Mus musculus: one gene and its partner. The protein of the gene in region 1 purifies or fractionates together with the protein of each later gene. This does not show direct contact. Links are inferred from orthologs where the notes say so. Each region holds a gene or a part of one and is shown on either strand. Other genes may lie near its edges.

The links.
Region 2: the proteins of Stx5a (region 1) and Bet1 purify together in Homo sapiens (affinity purification with mass spectrometry; 3 studies listed by BioGRID and IntAct, with this or other methods). This does not show direct contact. The link is inferred for Mus musculus from reciprocal best matches to the Homo sapiens genes STX5 and BET1.

Annotation. Positions count from the first base shown.
Region 1 is NC_000085.6:8,748,278-8,751,926, forward strand, and holds part of Stx5a (syntaxin-5), read left to right. Parts: intron 1-183; coding exon 184-300; intron 301-377; coding exon 378-434; intron 435-529; coding exon 530-611; intron 612-1,388; coding exon 1,389-1,495; intron 1,496-1,628; coding exon 1,629-1,750; intron 1,751-3,649. UniProt on the Homo sapiens protein: Mediates endoplasmic reticulum to Golgi transport.
Region 2 is NC_000072.6:4,084,056-4,088,178, forward strand, and holds the start of Bet1 (BET1 homolog), read right to left. Parts: upstream 2,876-4,123; 5' UTR 2,741-2,875; coding exon 2,722-2,740; intron 1-2,721. UniProt on the Homo sapiens protein: Required for vesicular transport from the ER to the Golgi complex. Functions as a SNARE involved in the docking process of ER-derived vesicles with the cis-Golgi membrane.

The DNA of each region.
Region 1 (3,649 bases):
TCTCTGCTAGGAATGAACAGAGCTAGAAAAGTCTAGTGTCACCTTCTGACCTGACTAGACGCGTACACCATTAGCTGGTTTCCTCTTGACTTCCCTGCCAGAGACAGCCAGAGACTCTTCACAGAGATGGTCTTCATGACTGAAGACTCCCTGCCTAATGCTTTTCTTCTGGTCTCTTACCAGGATATCAATAGCCTCAACAAACAAATTGCTCAGCTTCAAGATTTTGTGAGGGCCAAGGGCAGCCAGAGTGGCCGGCATCTGCAGACCCATTCTAACACCATTGTGGTTTCGTTGCAGGTGGGACCTTGGGGATGGAGGAGGGAGGAGAGGAATAACAAAATACATTCTTTGACCCAATTGTCCTTGCCTTTTAGTCAAAGCTGGCTTCTATGTCCAATGACTTCAAGTCAGTTCTAGAAGTGAGGACTGAGGTAAGTGGGATCAGTAGGTGGGTAAGGACCTATTGTAGGGTCCACAGACCCACTTTCCAGGGACTCAGGAGCCGTGTATTCCTCCCCAACATCAGAATCTGAAACAGCAGAGGAACCGTCGGGAACAGTTCTCCAGGGCACCAGTGTCAGCCCTGCCTCTTGCCCCCAACAACCTTGGTAAGTCAGTAGTAGCACTATGGGAAGCCTAGGGGCTAAGTTCTTCTGGGTTTGGTGGCATCCTTTAGACTTCAGAGTGTAAACACAGTAGAGTAGGAGAACGGAGCTGCCAGAATGGTGCTGTGCATTATCTCAGAGGACAAACTTGGTTTTGAAACTTTATGATCTACACTTAACCCTTGTGCCTTCTCATGGGAAACATGAGACATATCATGTAGACATATCAGAAAAATGACAGTGTCTGACTTTTTGTACTTAGTTACATTCTCTCTAATTTTCACAACCAGCCTTTGGAAAAGCAACTATTGTTAGCTCCATTTTGCAGATGAGGAAACTGAGACTCAGATCAAATAATCTATTCAGAGCTGGATTTAAATCTAGTGGGTTTTGAATGTGTTTTTATTTTTAAAGCTAGGGTCTCATGTAGCTTGGGCTGGCCTCTAGCTTGTTAGCTGAGGACTAAACTATCTCCACCTCCCTATGACTAGTATAACAGGCAAGCACCACCATGCTTTGCTTGAACCATGCCTATACATTCTCATGTATGCACTGTGTGTGTGTGTGTGTTTTGAGAGACAGACAGACAGTGGCAGTCAGACAGTGACAGTCAGGGTTTCTCTATGTTGTCTTGGCTGGCAGATCAGATTGGCCTCAGACTCATAGAGACCCCCTTGCCTCAACCTCAAGAATTCTGGCATTAAAGGCATGTGCTACCAATGCCAAGCCCTGAACCTGCTTTTAACCATTAAAATGTGCCATGTCCTATTTTCCTCCCAGGAGGTGGTCCCATAATTTTGGGAGCAGAGTCCCGAGCTTCCAGGGACGTGGCTATTGACATGATGGACCCTAGAACAAGCCAGCAGCTTCAGCTCATTGATGAGCAGGTACCCAGGCTCTGAAATCTGGAGAATCAGTTTCTCTATTGTCTTCTTTGTTCCCCTGAGTGTTTGGAATGTGTCATGGTGAAAAAGTCTTAAAAACCTAGGCCCTAGTTCATGGTGTTTTCTTCTTCTGAAGGATTCCTACATCCAGAGTCGGGCAGACACCATGCAGAACATTGAGTCTACAATCGTTGAGCTGGGCTCCATTTTTCAGCAATTGGCACACATGGTTAAAGAACAGGAGGAAACGATTCAGAGGTGAGACACTCTCACCCCATACAGTGCAGCCTTCTCTTCTCCATGGATTGATATCCTGAAGTCCCTAGGGACAACTTGGTGTTCTTTGGAAGAGTGGAGTGAATCCTGCCTACCCACTAGTCCTGTTCCCCTGCTTCTACTCATTCCATAAGAATTTATTTAGGGGCTGGTGTGGTGGTGTATGCACGCCTTTGATCCCAGCACTCTGGAGACACAAACAGGCAGAGCTCTATAAGTTTGAGGCCATCCTGCTCTACATAGTGAGTTCAAGGACAGCCGCTGAGGCTACAGAGAAGTCCTTTAAAAAAAAGAAAAGTAAAAGAAAATGCCTACCATGCATAAAGGTTTAGGATCTGTCCTCAGAATCATAGAGAAAACAACTGGTAGGGACAGCCAACTGGCTCATCCGGCAAAGGCATTTCCTGCACACGCCTAGTAACACGAGAATGGTAACTGCTGCCAGATAAAGGTGAAAGATTTCAGCGCCACAGGGTTGTCTTGTGATCACCACATCCATGCCTCCTACCCCATAATAATAAATAAAAATGTAAAAAAAAAAAAAATCAAACAGCTGAGAAGGGAGCACAGTGTGCTGACCTTAAAGTACAGCTACTCTCGAGGATTGTTTGAACCAAGGAGTTCAAGACAATGACATCAGACCACCATGATCTGCTATGTGGATGCTGGGAATTGAACTCAGAACTTAAGTGAGTGCTCTTAACCACTGAGCCATCTCTCCAGGCCCACAACCATATTTAACCCTAGTTTTAGGAGATCCAACGCAGGCATCAGGCATTTAAAAGTTGATTTAAAATGTCAGCAGCAGAAAATGTCAGTGGTACTGTTGTAGCAGCCTGAGAAATCTGTAGAGCCCGCGGGATGTGGGTGCTCGCTCCACAAGGCAGGGTGAAACAAAGCTGACTTTAGAGAGCAGAAAGACGGTGAACCTGAGAAGGGCAAGGACAGTTCTTATGAAGCTTGTCTGCTCATTATGTTGAAAACTCCTGAGGTGCTGGCTCAGCTGTTAAGAGCACTGGCTGCTCTTCTGAAGGACCCGGGTTCAATTCCCAGCACCCACATGGCAGCTCACAACTGTCTATAACTTCAGTTACAGGGGACCCAACATTCTCACACAGATGATAGCCATGCAGAGAAAACACCAGTGTACATGAAATGAAAATAAGTAAATCACTTAAAAAGCAAAAAAGAAAAAGAAAATTCCTGAGGTGTAGGCAGCTAAATGTGTATCAGAACGGGGTGCAGGAGTTTCCTGATGGATGCCCTTTTAATTTCCTGACTGTCCTGCAGGCCTTGCAGTGTCCTATAGCTTCAAGTTGTTTGCTGGCCTTGTTACTGCTCTTTCAAAACAGAAAAGCTTGGTTCTCCAGTGTTATTTGGAAAAACCAAATATGGGCTTCAGTGGCACTGCTTATATTACTTTGTATGGAATAACTTGAAAGAAGATGCTGTGTAACTTGTATCTCATTAGGAAGCATTTAATGTCAGATTGCATTTATATCAGGGAGGACAGATATCAGAAACAGTCTTCCACCCCATGATCAACTCCAGGACCTTGTACATGCTGGACAGTATTCTGCCATTAAGTTACACACTCAGTCATTGTTTTTAGCTTTTTTCCTCTTGAGTGAGAAACTCAAGGCAAAGCTCAGCAGATAAGTTTGCTTGCTATAAAGCCTTGATGGCCTGCATTTGGTCCCTGGAACCCACATTGTAAAAGAGAACCAGTTCCCACATGTGTCCTTTGACCTCCACATGAGGGCCATGGCACATGCATACTCATACATACACACAGACATACAAAATAAATATAAAAGAAAAATTCTTTTTTTTTTTTTGTTTTTTTTTTGTTTTTTGTTTTGTTTTAAAAGATTTATTTAT
Region 2 (4,123 bases), on another chromosome or scaffold:
GATCTCCATAAACATACAGGTACACACACACCCTACAACAATACTTAAGTAAATACTTATAAATGAACTAAAAAGGACATTTTTCCTTTACTGTAAACCAATTTTGTCAACAGCAGAATGTCTTTTGCTTCTCTGGCCTCTTGCACCTAATGAGCACTTTCTATGTACCAGACGCCTATATTTCTCCGTTTACCACAAAAGCCATAACAAAATGTTAAATATTTCAAAGAGAGGGGACAGTTGCACACTTGCTGGCTGGCATGGTCTCTCTCTTTCTCCACACATATTTTCAAACAGATTAAAAGCTGGAGGACAGGGCATAGTTGTTTTTCGCAGCTCACCAACTAAAATCAACACTTAAAATAATCTCTGCAAACTCTTAACAAGATTTAAGATCTTCAACTTGTTTAATGTGACTAAGTAATTCTGGATTGGATAGTTAATCACTGGACAACTTCATTAACTAATTTGTCCAAAATTAATGGCTATTTTGATTTATTTCTTTTGTTTTGACTCTCTAGCCTATCTTATACTTAATTTCAGAGTTCTTCTACTTTGTTCTTTTAAAGCAAAATGTTCCTTTTTTTGATCCAGAAATTTTAATGCAGTTGCAAATTTGATCTTTCTTCACATCATCTTCCACCCCCAAACAGAAAAACAAAACAAAACCAACTAAGGTAAAATAAAATACTACAATTGCTATTCCAACTGAGATCCAATTTTTCAGTGAGAATTAATTACTACTATGATGAACTGTAGAAAGGCGAGTCTTGAAGGTCATTTCCAGCTGATGCCATCTGAAAAGTGCTACTTCCTTGAAGCAGGCCAATTCATTTAACAGCTCCTGTGTAAGGTGGCAGGTTTTACATACAAATGCTTATCAGACTCACTATTATTTCAAATTTCAAATTCAGGTCAGCACACAATGATACTTTTAGGTCTTCATAATTCAACACCAATTTAAGTGATAAGCATACTTAAACAAATAATTACCCCTCTTCTTCACTGCACTTCAAAAAGACTTAGGAGGGGACTCTTGCCTGCTGATTCTAATTTAATTGAAAATCTAATTTAACATCTTTCTGAGTAATTGTAACATACAATACAAGTCAGAGATAGAAACCTACTGTCAAATCCCTGACCTGCACGTATTAAAAACAGTACAGCACAAACAAAATTCCAATAGGCCAGTGGCCTACTGATGAATGTAAAGTCCTTGAATAGTCAGATCGTTCGGGTGCCTCAGGGTCCTAGCTTCACTCAGAGTGACTTCATCACCACAACCTCTTGTATACATCATTCATAACTACCCTGAATCTTGTTTGGCCATCTTCTCATCTGGGACTTACTTCTCCCAACCCTCACAGTCACCAGCATCCTTCAGGTTCTCCGGCTCCAGGAAGCCCACCGTGAGCCATGGATTATTAAGCCCCCACTGCATTTACTATCCGATGAACTTAACCTGTACTGGGATGAAGTTACCACCTTGGATCGTACTTTGTCATCTGCTTCCGCAGCAATTTATCTTCTGCTCCACAGTAACCCTGAAAGCTTTGGGAAGCACATGGTGCGTCACAATAAATGTCTGCTGTTATTAGTGTTGGAAAAATGTAGGCATATATGACTAATCATGTTTGAAAATAGTTCTTTAGGTTATTTGAGATGAACTAATTTCTTTCAATGACTGAAAGGATTCATAAAACTAAATTTACAACTTCTTCACATGCAACTACTTATTGACAACCCTGTCAATCTATATTACTGACACCATTCAAGGCCCTTATTTTTCAGTGGTTTTAAAGTCCACACATTCTATTCCTATAACCAACCTTATTGAAACTACTACCATGTCTCTGCACTGTCATGAATATTGTGTTCCTTCTTACATAATCAAAACCCATAACAAGCCGTGAATTATGAGTTGCAAAAGAGGCTTTAGTTTTCATACCTAACTTTAAGTGTTTGTCCATTCACTGGCTTTAACACCTCAAATTTTTAAAAACTATTTTTTTTTTTACTATTCCAATGTCTGCCAGAACAGCAACATCCTTTTTAATATTTCACACATTTTTTTCAAGCATTCTGCCCTTCCTTCTTTAAGACATGGCTAATAGAGAAAGAACTTCAGTTATTACTAAGCTATTCCTTCCCCTGACCCATTTAAGTCATCAAAACCAACATCTACTGCCTTAGCAGTGGGACAAGGTCTAGGTCAGAAGTGTTCCAAGTAACTCGCCTTTGACCCAGACCTTTCATAACAGGCACTTTAACAATAAGGACACGTAAATTCACCTTTGTAACTCACGGTTATCAAACTAACGCATCATTATTAGTGGGCTTAAAGCTTACTACTCCCCAAATGTCATTTCTTAAAAAAAAAAAAAAAAAGTTAAGATCCAGAATGAGTAAAGCAAAGGAAACAGCAAGGCTTGGGAAATTGGGTTACTCCCCAAACTAGCACATAGAAAAAGAAAAACTTATGCTAACCAATTCACCGCTCTGTGCAACCTAGCATATAGGTTTAAACTTTTGTCTAAATACAACTTCAGGAAACCGTTCGGAACTAGGACACAGGAAGAGAACCTTCTCCAAAGAACCCAAATAACTCGCTTTTGAACACCAAAGTCATTGACAGAGGGCCGGTAGTCTCCTCCCACAACCCTGCTCCCGACTCAGCAGGTCCTAGGGTCCCCAAACTTCGAACCTCAGCACTGTTCTTACCCAGGCCTGCACGCCTCATCCTGCCAGGAGAGGGAAAGGCGGGCAAGGAGGAGTGAGTAGGAAAGGGCCAGGGTCACCCGACCTCGGCTTCAGTCCCAGGGCTCCTAAGAGCAACAACTTTTTGCCTCAGAGCGCCACGACATCAGTAAAGTCTAAACACCGCGCCGGTTTATGTCGTCACTCGGACACATATAGGCGTCCTGAAATGCGATTACTAGTTGCATTCTGGGAAATGTAGTTTTCCGTCTTCTGGGGCACTGGGTAAGAGGGGCGTGGTAGGAACAATGCCTGGAATGGGCGGGGCTTCCGGAAGGGCAGCGACAGCTGCTGGGGCTCTAGTCCTGTTATTCTGGGTCATTACTTAATCCAGAACTTTTAGTATGGCACTTTTTGATGTTAGTGCCAACTTTAACCTGGGAGAGTTACCCCTCCCTAGCCGGGATGATGGTTGACTCTTTCATGATTTTCCCTTGCACTCCCGCTCACCCAAAGTCAGAGGTGAGAAAGTCAGTGCAAACTTTGTTCAAACAGAGTCTCATCTTACTGTCTGAGCCTCTTAGCAGGAAAGGAAAATCAATCCTCTTCCTTCCTGATCCTGCCCAGTGGAATAGTTAAAAAAAAATATATATATATATACACATATATATATATATATATATATGTGTGTGTGTGTGTGTGTGTGTGTGTGTGTGTGTGTGTGTGTATGTATGTATGTATGTATGTATCCTTGCAGTAGAACTTCCGGGTAGGGAAGTGGGGAGTCTCAGCTTCCTAACGCATTTGATCTAAGTCTGGAAAGAACTGTGATATTTAGCTTTTAAACACTCCACCCTACTTAGAGCTTTTAAAACGTACACACAAATACCTCATACTTGTTTCCATGGAGCATGTAGCCATCCTCTGCTACATATGCAGCAAGTACCCTTAGCTGCTGAACCACCTCACTACACACATTATACTTCATAATAGAAACACATTGCACTAACACTCTGCCCTCAGCTTACTGTGGTTTGATGGCTGAAAGAAAGAGTCTAAGTTCCGCCTTCTTTGCTTCTATTGCTATGTGATAATTTTCAATTCAACTAATACAGAATGTGAGATGAGTATGGGGATATAACAAAGATCCTTGATGATTTTATCACAAGTTCTTATTCAAGTACAACATGTGACTATGGGAACTATAAGTGTTCATACTCGAGCATAAACATGCCATCTTCACCTTGTAGCTTTTAATATCTTGCAAAATTTGATGAGTCAGAGGGCTATCAGAATCCAGAGCATATTAATGAAGAACAATAAAAACACTTATTACAAATATATCATTTGCACATGAGCATGTTATATTATGCCATTAGACTTCATTTGCATGATACAAGATCAAAGACAAAAATTATTAAGAGTT